3 linked regions of the Xenopus tropicalis genome follow. The protein of the gene in region 1 purifies or fractionates together with the protein of each later gene. This does not show direct contact. Links are inferred from orthologs where the notes say so. Each region holds a gene or a part of one and is shown in the gene's direction. Other genes may lie near its edges.

What was found.
Region 2: the proteins of cdk5rap3 (region 1) and ufm1 purify together in Homo sapiens (co-immunoprecipitation; 3 studies listed by BioGRID and IntAct, with this or other methods). This does not show direct contact. The link is inferred for Xenopus tropicalis from reciprocal best matches to the Homo sapiens genes CDK5RAP3 and UFM1.
Region 3: the proteins of cdk5rap3 (region 1) and pip4p2 purify together in Homo sapiens (affinity purification with mass spectrometry; 3 studies listed by BioGRID and IntAct, counting the BioPlex papers as one, with this or other methods). This does not show direct contact. The link is inferred for Xenopus tropicalis from reciprocal best matches to the Homo sapiens genes CDK5RAP3 and PIP4P2.

Annotation. Positions count from the first base shown.
Region 1 is NC_030686.2:11,662,776-11,666,426, forward strand, and holds part of cdk5rap3 (CDK5 regulatory subunit-associated protein 3), read left to right. Parts: intron 1-396; coding exon 397-528; intron 529-1,255; coding exon 1,256-1,356; intron 1,357-2,154; coding exon 2,155-2,203; intron 2,204-2,282; coding exon 2,283-2,461; intron 2,462-2,838; coding exon 2,839-2,975; intron 2,976-3,651. UniProt on the Homo sapiens protein: Substrate adapter of E3 ligase complexes mediating ufmylation, the covalent attachment of the ubiquitin-like modifier UFM1 to substrate proteins, and which is involved in various processes, such as ribosome recycling and reticulophagy (also called ER-phagy).
Region 2 is NC_030678.2:151,095,425-151,099,591, reverse strand, and holds the start of ufm1 (ubiquitin-fold modifier 1), read left to right. Parts: upstream 1-1,246; 5' UTR 1,247-1,295; coding exon 1,296-1,297; intron 1,298-3,289; coding exon 3,290-3,346; intron 3,347-4,167. UniProt on the Homo sapiens protein: Ubiquitin-like modifier which can be covalently attached via an isopeptide bond to lysine residues of substrate proteins as a monomer or a lysine-linked polymer.
Region 3 is NC_030682.2:126,751,493-126,755,737, reverse strand, and holds the start of pip4p2 (type 2 phosphatidylinositol 4,5-bisphosphate 4-phosphatase), read left to right. Parts: upstream 1-1,312; 5' UTR 1,313-1,422; coding exon 1,423-1,525; intron 1,526-4,245. UniProt on the Homo sapiens protein: Catalyzes the hydrolysis of phosphatidylinositol-4,5-bisphosphate (PtdIns-4,5-P2) to phosphatidylinositol-4-phosphate (PtdIns-4-P).

The DNA of each region.
Region 1 (3,651 bases):
TATATATTTTAATACCCCTGTTTATATTAATGTATTCTACTGTACAGCACTGCGTACATAAGTAGCGCTTTATAAATAAAGTTATACATACATACATACAAGTAGCCTTAACAATGAATATGCCCTTTGTGCCATATCCCTCAGTATGCACGTATCCATATGTGTATCCTAGGGTGGCCAAATCACTTGAAAATTCAGGGGCACATCTAGAAAATACAGCTAGCAGGGCTTAACTGATTACAGTTTAATTTAATATCGGTAATGCCCTGCAACATGTATTTATTAGATGTGTCCCTGAATTTTTGAATGAGCTGGTCACCTTAGTATATCTGTATTAACAGGAGCTGTCTTATTCTTTGCCTTCTTTCTTAACCTGCTTCTCTGGTATTTTTGCAGATTGGCTAGTGGACCGGCGCCACTGTACCCTAAAATGGCAAAGCAAAGTATTACAGATTAGAGAGAAGATCAACCAAGCCTTGCAGGACATGCCAGAGCATGATGAGATCCGGGGTCTGCTCTCTGGGACATGTAAGTGGCAGGCATAGAATTTACATCTGAAGGATGTTGTGTTGTATTGGGCATAGTAAACACCTACTAAAGCTGGTATTAGGTAGATATTGAATATTTATGTGTCCTTGGATTTATCTGGTAAACTAACTAACTGCCTGTATATTCCTCATTTAATGGATATTAACACCCATTTTTTTTTTTTCAAACACAACTTTTTGAAAAGAAAACACAATTTCAAGCAACTTTGCAATATACATAAATTAAAAAATATGCAGCCTTTTCATGATTTTTAATGTAATAATCTGGTTTGGAGCAGTTCCCTAAACCCCGCCCCCTGTTCCCCTGCTGATCTGACTACTTTTTGACTCAAATAAAATGTAACAGTAGTCGCCTGCCTCCAAATCTCACAATGCCCTGTACATATATCATATATTTTGTATATTTTCTCTTTACTGGGGTTACAGAGCAGGGCAACCTAGTAAAGCTTGCCTTGTGTGTCTTGGTGACCTTAAATATTCATCTGTATAGAAATAGGTTTTCTACAGGTTTATAATTAGAATATATTCTGTTTAGTAAATTATTTTTTCATTTAATTTTGATGAGCAAAAGTATGTAATTTAATACGACTCTAAGTGCTTATAGTTATAAAAAGTAATTCCTTCCCCTCCGTGGTTATAATAACAGGTGGCAAATGCTGAATGATTTTCCATTGTTATTAATTAATTCAAATATTCCTACTGCCCAGATATTAATTACTTCCACTGTCTGAAGATTGTGGAGATCCTGAAAGGAACCGAAGCCGCAACCAGGAATCTGTTCGGGAGATATTCGTCTCAGAGAATGAAGGTGATTGGCTTATTCCCAGCAGTACATTCATCCTTCTGAAACCGTGAATAATGAAGCCTCACACTAACTAAATGTTCTAACCGGTTTAAATTGATTATGTGCAAATTTACTTTGGACTAACCCATTAATTAACACAAACCACCCTTCCCCAGGCCAGTGATTAGATCAAAGTAGGCTCCTGTGCTGGCCCGTTAGGAGAGAACATCATCAACACAGTGATGTGGTCCCTGCTCAATGGGATTTTCATGCCTGATGGATAGATATCTGGCTGATTTGTGGCCAGATATCTATTGGAAAGCAATTTGGCATAGACACATAAGTCGCTGACTCAGTCTGAAGGGGCCATATCAACATCTTAAGAGCCTGTTCGCATTTAAATTAACTTTTAGTATGATGTACGCAGTGATATTCTGAGTTAATTTGCAATTGGTCTTCATTTTTTATTTTGGTGGTTTTTCAGTGATGAAGCTTTTTGTTCAGCAGCTCTCCTGTTTGGAATTTTACCTTGGCAACCAGGCAGTGGTTTAAGTGAGAGACAGGAATATGTATAGGACAGGGACTGAATAGAAAGATAAGTAATAAAAAGTAACAATAATAATTAACTTGTAGCCTCACAGAGCATTAGATTTTGGATGTTGGGGTCAGTGACCCCTATTTGAAAGGTAAAATGCTAGGAATCGGAATGTTAAAGCAAATGAGAGGCAAGTAGCATGATTGTAGTAATCGGTAAGATTTACTGGCACAGCTTCATTGTTTACTTTTTATTATGGTATAATTGCTTGTTGTTCTTCTCGGCAGGACTGGCAGGAGGTGGTGTCTCTGTACCAGGCTGACAATACTTACCTGGGTGAGTATGTTATGCAGTAGCAGGTTTGTGTGTCACAGGGCAGTGATCTGAGAGCTCACCGTGTGTGTCCCTCCTGCAGGGGAGTCGGCCAGTCTCCTGATGCGCAGTGTGAGCTATGAGATCCCAGCTCTGAGGAAGCAAATGTCTCGCTGTGAGCAACTGGCTCTGGAGAGTGAGCGCAGGGCGGAAGAATGCTTGCACGGAGCAGCAGAACAGCGAGAACAATATTATAACAGCTGCAAAAACTATGGGATCAGTGTAAGAACATGAAGCCTTTGCCAATGCTTACTTTTGCCCCCAGCCCAGTTATATCCTTATGTCTTTCTCTCAATGGTCCTCTCTGATTCCCTGCAGTCTACCTCCTTATAGTCAGATTTCTTATCTAAACTGCCTGTGGCTTATTACTAGCTTGGACAAATGTTCCCCGGGGCACTAACTTATAGAGACTTTACTTACATTATATTATCTGCAGTACACAAATGAAAATTAATTTTCTGATAGGATGCCATGTAATATTGCACTGGGACTTGTGCTGCTGACAGCAAACACGCTTTCCCTTGCCCTCTCCCTTCAACTTGCTGCAACAACAAGTTGCACTTTGTAGCTGCATCATCCCATTTACTTCTGCCGTGCAGGGTGAGGATATACAAAAAGAGTTGCTGGCATTGGTTTGCGATGTTCCTTCTGTCCTGAGGCAGATCGGTGCCGACTCAGCAGGGCTGTTGCCTGCAATCCAGCTGTACCAGGCCTGTGTGGCCTTTGTCTGTGACAGGTGAGACCATAGCAGAAAGAAGGACAAATGCAGGAGTGGGACGGGGGATAAAATCATTGTAGGTATATGAGAATATCAATTTTTGTGTGCATATTATGGAAAAGAGAGAAGGTTACAGTTATCAAGAAGAAAAAGGGGACAGGTAGAACATGGTGTAGGACAGGGCCACCCGGAAGTGAGCAGCCCAACGTTAGCCTAACATATGACTAGGATCTGCCATTTTGCTTGGCGCAGATGAAGCATTTTCAGTTAATGAGAACCATAAAGGAGCCATGTTTATGACCACTATTATGAGAACTGTTACTAAAGTCAATGGAGAATGCTTGAGCACTGCCTCAAAAACAGTGTATCGTGCAATTTACTAGGATGTTTGTTTGTGAATTGGCCTTTGTAAATGGCGTTTAGGCATGTGATTTTGCATTTTGTAATGTGTATATAAACCATAAAAATATTATAAGAATTCAACCCCAACAGATTAATATTCTGTTGTACCTTTGCAGTAATAATTCATCCTTTGGGGGTAAGTTAGTACCAGCTTTTCTTGCCGCTTAGGGATGACTTGGACCCATTCTGCCAAGTAGATTTGGTGCAGGTTATTCAGGTTAGTGGGTAATTGCCCCATGCGCCATTGCTGTTTGTAATAGTTGGCATCTCTGTGGTTTCTCTCCACCAAGTC
Region 2 (4,167 bases), on another chromosome or scaffold:
CTTGAATAATTATAACCTATCATGCACTTTGCAAGGTTAAAAACTAAGGATGAAACAATTAGTGCTTAATTTTACCCTTTCACAAAAATGACTAAATACTTTTTAAAACAATGACACCAATGTATATTAAGATCCGCTAATATTATCATTATTATAGCTATTATGAATATTAAAAGGGCAATATAAACCAATATACAGCTTTTGTCAGCATAAGTAAAATAGATATTCTTTTAATTACAAATTATTAATCATTTATATCATTAAGCAGAACAAATAGCATTATTTCATTTTCACAATTACTATGTTACCATTAATAAGTTGATTTACTTTAACTAGTGATACTGAGATCTGTATAAACAACCACCTTCCTTCACCCTTTTATTGCAAATGTTTTGCCTTACAGACAAGCAGGAGTATATTATGTAGAAATGGAGGCAGGTTCAAGTAGGAATAGTAAGAGCTATATATCACAATAATCAGAGCTGTCAACCCTCCCAAAAATTTAGGAATCTAACAATGTTTCCATTAAACCCCACTCCTGTTCATTAGGTGCTTATGTGGTTGAGTGAGCACTCACACTCATTCAGTGCTCATGTGCTGTGACATCACAGGAGCACACTCACAATCCCCCAGCTGGGCAGAGAAAGAGACTCTGTCAGTAAATCTATTTTTTTGGCTGAAAACAGGCAGAATATGAAAGGTAATAATGCAAAAGCCATTTAAAATAAATAAGGAAAGCCAACAAAATTGTGCTTAAAATAGGTCCATCTACATTATAAAGGTAAAATACCCCAAAGTCCACTGTGTATATATCAAATCCTTTCATTAAATGTATTGTTTTCTGAAGTAACTCCAATACAATGCAAGCAGCAGAACTATAAGACTTTACCCTAGCCAAAGCTTGCCCTAATCAAAGATGGCCGCTGAAAGCTTCCAGCCTAATGACGCACAAGCCCTCTGTCAATTAACACGTGTACCTCGGAAGGCCAGTTCAGATATGCAGCCCATTAGCGCCAGTTTAAAAAAAACTACGTGGCATTTTACTGTTGCCCTTCTGTTTGAATAGCGATACTTTTAAATATGGTTATCTGTAGATTTAAACAACACACACCTTGTATTTTTGTAGTTGGTATATGTTGTTGTGCCCGGGGGTTCTGACAGGCATGTAGTTGGACAGCTATCCCTCTCGCTGAACTAGTGTTGATGACGTAGAACGAGGACAGGCTGCTTCTACGGGACCAAGACACCGGCAATTCTACCTGTGCTACCGGCAGCGTAACATTTCCGCACATACAATGTTAGTAGCTGTGGACTCATTATGTTGGGTTCCTTTTCTAATTAACAATTCATCTTTATTTCATTACAGTGTATGTGTAGGCAGCAGGCAGCAGTCAGCTGTCCGCAGTTCCATGGACGCTACTATTAAGAGTCATTTCGCGGGGGGGTTAAAATTGATCAACAGCGAAGCATTGACACTTTCCAGATCTCTGTCATTTCAAATGTTATTCTAACTTTGTACTGAATAGAGCTGCTGTATGCTTTCATTGGTACAGCAGCCCTGGCACCTACAGTGCCTATTTAATGCAGGCTACACCAGCCAACAGGGCTTATTGACATTCATTCTGTTCTGAAGGGGGTTATATAATGATACAAAGTTTACCCTAGTTCTTTAACCCATAGCAACTGTTTAGCAGTTAGAATAATGAAAGAGATCATTATGATATTATTCTGGTTGCCTGAGGTTTTTGTCATTACTAATTATTGGCACTGAAGTGCAGCAACCATTCAACAATTTGCTTTGAACAGTTCACTCAGTATGAGAAAATGAAATCAGTCATCTGATTGGTTGCTAAGTGGTAACTGCTGTGGTGTAGTCTAGCACTTATGTGTGTAAATCAGGCCCTGCTTAAATCTAGAGGTGTATTTTTAAGCAAGTTGTGACTTTCATCCCAGGATTTCTGTTTTGCCCATTAGTTACAATATGTGATGTGCAGTGGGGTTAGTTACACTACAGAGTGCCAAAAAGGGAGCAAAACCCCATCTGCAGCCTTAGCTGGCTTTGTTTTCAGATTTGCTCCTGTGAATACAGGGACTGCTGCCTTGGTCAGCACTGTGTAGTTGCATAGTTAATTTTGTAATACCTATACAAACTAACTGTAGGTATTAGTATCACAATAGCCTTGGACTACTATGCTTGTTCAAGAACCCATCCAGGCCCCTCTTATAGGCAATAACAGAATCTGCCATCACAACATCACTAGGAAGGGCATTCCCCAACCTCACTGCCCTCACTGTGAAAACTGATGGCGCCTATACCTGCCGTTCTAATTTGCACCAATACCGCCACCTGTAGGTGGGGATATTGGGAGAAGATCTGCTCACTGAGTAGTGAGCGGATCTTACCGTGTATGACCAGCTTTAGTTTCAACTGCCCCTGTAAACAGATCTGCACCAGATTTGTGCAGTGACAATATTAGTGTTACCTGAGACCCCTATCCCTGCCTCCCAAGTCCCCAGTGTAGTCGCTGTTGTATCATACCCACCTGGAACCAGCACAGATAAGAATTAGCTGTGGAACAGCAGAATCACACAGTATTAGACTGGGGTGTCAGGGGGCTGCCACCTCAGAGCCCCCTACCCCAGTCGTAAGTCCACCCACCATTGGGCAGCATAGCAGTGTTATATTTACATTTGCTCGTAATCGGGGGTGGAGCTCAAAAAGGCAGGGACTGGGTTGGCAGTGCCCACAGGGTTTTTCCTGCTGGCCCAGTCCGACCGTGGACTCATAGATGAAGACTTGAAGCTCAATAAGGAGCAGGCTAACACAGCTACAAAGAAATGTATTGCATGTTTATATTTAAAAGCATTGAGTTTGGTTATACATTTTTAAATTTCTGATACATTTAATATTAACCACATGACCTTATTTATAGTGTTCCAAATTCATTCCATCTTGGGGCTAATAACTTCCTTTTATTACATTTTTATTTATAAACATCAAATATCCTATTTGATTAATTCAGCAGTATAGAGATAAGGCAGGCCATTATGTGGGAGTGATGGGACATATTGTATGGGAGCATCACTGCAAACCTTGAAATTGCCTGTTGCTATGAGATCAGATTAGATGGTTGACTGATGCTGAAGAAAGCGCATCCCAAGGAAGCACTGCTTGCCACAAATATGGCATTTTGCTTTATTTGGGACCATTGAGCTTTATAACAGCAATTATAATTACTATAATTAATACAGTTACATTTTCTAACTTTTTTTGTTTGAATTTTTCAAGGTCAAAGGTTACATTTAAAATCACACTTACGTCAGACCCCCGACTGCCGTACAAAGTGTAAGTTTTGCTTTTCCTTTTACCATATAACTACATGATGTACTTTATCTTATTTTAATGCCACTTTGCTCTGTGTTTCACAAAGACAGTTTATTCAGGGCCTACTGTATAATTACCTTGATTTAGTGTATCTGCTGGAACTGTGAATCATTATTACAGATGGCTTAATCCATACAGCAATGATAACTTCTGTAAAAAAAATTTCGTCCATACTGTAATCAGCACTTTTCTTCATTCTGTTTATTGATTTCCTATATTGCAGATTTATTTAAAATTGTTAGCTTTTACCTAAAGTCATGCAGATCTGGTTTTAGAGAGCCCGGCCTGTGCAAGTGTCCCCATAAGGTATAATGCTATCTGTACTCTACACTGAGAAATTTGTCCATATGTCCCTGCTTTGGGAGAATCGTGCCCATCTAAATGTGGAGGTCCTTTGGCAGTACATAATCATATGCGGGTGATACCTGGCAGCGATACACTCTATCGTAGCACTTTTTCCACTGGAAATTGACTGTTGGTTTAAAGGAGAAGGGAAGACTAATAAACAGTTAATCTCAAGCTGCAGGCATACCTTCAGTTCTCTCAATAGTGCCCTTAAGTCTCCCCATATTTGTCCTGTTCAGATGGTCAGAAGCCTCATTGGAAAAAAAATGCTGGCCTTTTTTTTTTTTTTTTCAAGAAACTTCCCATAATGCCTCGCTCCTGCACCAAGACCAAGACCCCTGTACATGCGCAGTTAGTAAGACTATGAGGAAGCTTCCTGCTGATTGGCTCAGATCACACATTCCTAAGGGGGGGGGGAGAGGGAGTTCTTAGCATTT
Region 3 (4,245 bases), on another chromosome or scaffold:
TTGCGACTTTTTCGTATTTTTTGTGTTTTTTTCATCGCCATCACGACTTTTTCGTAGCCATTATGACTTGCGCGAATTGTCGCGACTTTTTCGTAGCCGTTACGGCTTGCTCATATATTGTTGCGACTTTTTCGTAGCCGTTACGACTTGCTCGTATATTGACGCAACTTTTTCGTATTGAGCGCTCGTAAACGGCGGGCAAACCTTTCAGACTTTGCATGATTTTGGAAGCCTCCCATAGGACTCAATGGCACTCTGCAGCTCCAACCCGGCCCAAGGAAAGTCTCCCATAGGGCTCAATGGCACTCTGCAGCTCCAACCCGGCCCAAGGAAAGTCTCCCATAGGGCTCAATGGCACTCTGCAGCTCCAACCCGGCCCAAGGAAAGTCTCCCATAGGGCTCAATGGCACTCTGCAGCTCCAACCCGGCCCAAGGAAAGTCTCCCATAGGGCTCAATGGCACTCTGCAGCTCCAACCCGGCCCAAGGAAAGTCTCCCATAGGGCTCAATGGCACTCTGCAGCTCCAACCCGGCCCAAGGAAAGTCTCCCATAGGGCTCAATGGCACTCTGCAGCTCCAACACGGCCCAAGGAGAGTCTCCCATAGGGCTCAATGGCACTCTGCAGCTCCAACCCGGCCCAAGAAAAGTCACGATACTGAAGCTTGAATGAATCTGAAACTTTCATACTCGGCGCGACGGCTACGAAAAAGTCACAACAATTTGCGCAAGTCGTAATGGCTAAGAAAAAGTCGCGACAATTTACGAAAAAATCACAAAATACCGATCATTACGAAAAAAAAAACGCATTCGGGTGCTTTTCGGACATTCGTGGATTAGTAAATGTGCCCCCATGTGTTTTCAGTATGGTGCTTTTCATTCAGTGCTATGGAGAGGGGCATTTCAACTGTTGAAAGGCATCAGCAGCCATCAAAATGCCCCTGTACTGTAGCTCTTCAAGTTCAAGGCAAGCCAGGGAAAGCAAGTTGGCTGTGCCCCTGGCTTCTGATTTAGTAAATACCCTGCAGAGACACGCCCCCTCTGGTCTAATCTGCTGTATGATGCGCAACTGGCTCAATCACAAGGTTATTTAACATACCCTCCATCTGTGCAAAAGCTCATAATAAAGGGGAAATAAAACCCAAGTATATCTCCATGACACACCCACACACCAAGCTGTTTATCAACTGCAGAGAGATGCAATGAATGGTACCCAGAATCATACAGTCCTATCAATGAACTCTTCCAGAATTCTCTAAATGGGAAAGTCCATGTGCTTTTGGCCCCTTTGTAGCACACGGAGGGGATGGGGGGGCTGTATTTGGTCCACTGTCTCCTCCCTCTTTCTTGTGCTTCCCAGCCCTGTGACACAGACTTTGTGCGAGTGCTTCCCTTCCTTCTGTCGGAGCTGCAGCTGCTGCAGTCATGGCTGCTGATGGGATTGACGAGCGCTCCCCTCTCATTTCTCCCAGTTCCGGCAATGTCACCCCTACGGCCCCTCCGTACCTCCAGCAAAACAACCTGCAAGGTAAGCAGATGTGGGTGCTCAGAGGGTGCTAAGCCAAAACAGTGGGTCCGGCCATCAGCATGTGGCCCCCAATTCAAACTGAGTGGAGGGAGGAGGAGATAATGCCTTGCAGAGTGAATCATACAGCGCTCTATTAGACTGCAGAGGTTTGGGCTGTTGCAGTGTCTCTCTGCTTTGTTTGCCTGTGGCATAAACAGAAACTAGCGACAGTCCCCCCTGTCCCGGTTATGTAATTCCCTGCATAGTTTTGCCATTATCCTGCATGAGCGATCCGGCCGGCAGCCTAGGAAATGTGCTGTGTTTGTGTGTGCTTGGGACATGGCCTTAATGAAGCTAATTAATAATTATCTGTTCACATATCACAGCTGAATGTTGCCTGTGTGTGGCTGGGGCTGCCATGTGTGTCATTAGTCTCTATATCCGACAAGTTGTGAAACAAGATAAATAATGTATTGGTTGTTGGTAACTCACAGCACCAATGCTAATGAGTAATGTATATAGTCAGCAATATATATATATTTATTTATATATACATTGTAACTTATTGCTCACTAATATTTTGAGGGGAGTCTTTTGCCAAATAGTCTGGATTTTGTTTTAAACAAAGTTTCATTCATGCTTTTTATTCATTTATTGAAACAGTTGCTTTGTATGTATATATGTATTGTTTACTTCAGCTGACTCAAACATGTAATACCTGCAGTCCTTTAACTACTGTGCCCTACAAATCCCTAAGCCCCTACAGCTGATGGATGGTTATAGATGCTGGGAGTTGTATTTGGCCAACACCACCCCCTTTGTTTCTAAACATTACTATGAAGGGGAATTATTTACACCTTTCCAATAGAAAGACCTGTGAATTGTCAGTCCATGAGGTCCCGTAACCAAGATCATATATATAAGCCCCCCAGAGGTCCTTCCTAGGTGTTGAACAAACACTTGTCACTTATTACTAGGCACTGGGCTGGACAATTTGCACCTTCTGCTTCTATTCACTCTACTCCCCTAGTATCTTCACTCCAACAAGTGTCGGCAGGCGTGAAGTTTAACCATGCAAGTCTAGGACTCCCCAAATTGTAAGTTAAGGTGCCCTTATGCTGTGTGTATGGTAAGGCAGAAGGGTGTCAGTTTATATATGTACAGTAGAAACAGAATCCTCTTATATTAGAGTCCCTTTAATATATTTGCAATCTGTGTATTGTTTTAAGCAGCTGAGAGGAAACATTCTTCTTTTGCAAGGGCAACTTTATGGTCTGTAGGTGTCCTGTGTTGATGTGTTGTGACAGTAGCCTTCCTTTTGGAGGCCAGGATGAGCTCTTTGTCTTTTACAGTAGGAAAGAATCAGTCACACAACTTGATTCCATAATATAAAATCGATTGAAACACAATGCCCACACTCTGACAGCTCAATACCCCCTGCAAACTCCCACAGGTTTCCCAGCCCTGTTATAGAATATCACTTTAGGCATGCACTGCATCCAGGCTTTGCTTTGTAGGCTTATTCCTAGAATTCCCATTCAATGTATCCTTCATATTCAACTGTATATTGTGATCCTAAAATTATTGACACCTAAAGGTAACATATTTTTTTCTGCTCTAATGCAAATATCTCTTATGGAGGATTAAGTATTTACATCAGTCCCTAACTTAATGGATCTTAAGGTTGTTATGTGCAGACATTTACTCATGTGATCCCGTAAGCTGGCTTTTTCATGGGAAAGCATGAGTTACAGGAGCCCATTCCTTTCTATTGTGTCTGTACCAAAGGCACCATGCTGAACAGTTGAACGCAGGTGGCGTGCTATATGTTGTGTACCATGTGTTTCCGTGCGGTATGAGGCCACTGCATGGGATCGAAAGAATAAATGTCCATGTGTAAGAGCCCTAGTATTCTAATGCACCTATCCACACATGTATACACATAGGGGCAAATTTATAAAAATGCGCTCAGTACAGGAAAATACTCACTTTCTATTCATTCCTATGGGGTTTTTAGAAGCGTATTTATGATGGGCGAAAGTTAAAACTCACCGTTTGATAAATACACATCTAAAAAAACCCATAGGAATGAATAGAACATGGGTGAGTTTTTATGTATTAAGCTCAAAAATCTCATTTTGGTAAATCTACCCCATAAGGTCAGTTTGATTAGAGGGCAAGTACCCGCACGGATCGCAAACAAGGCCCTGTGCAATGAGGCAGTGATACTAAAAGTGCCAGGAAAAGAGTGGCTTCCTAGATTACAGCCCTGCACATTATTATTACTGGGTTTGGGGCACACTGGCATTTTATATGCCTTGGCTGATATTACGAAATCTGAGAACTGTTTTATGCTACTTTCTCTTAATATTCTATTAAAAGTGGAAAATAAGGCATAAGCTACTGAATCTATTTATTTGCTCAGCAATTTCTGAATCAAATGACAGGGGAGATCCAAAGAGAGCAATTTTCAGGGTAGAAGAGTAACATCACTTATAAGGAGGGTAGAAGCAGTAATGAATGTGTATTAGCTTTTCCCCTGAGGGAATGCTTGTCCATTATAAACTTCACGTGGGATAAAGAGCATATGTGTCTGACAAATGCCTGCTGTCTCTCTGTATCAGATAGAAATCTGTGCTTAATGCATGTCAGGATATTATACTAGAGCTGTGTTTATGCTGGGAGTTGTAGTACAGCAACAGCTGCCTAATTGTAGGCTGAGCAAAATATATATATAAAAA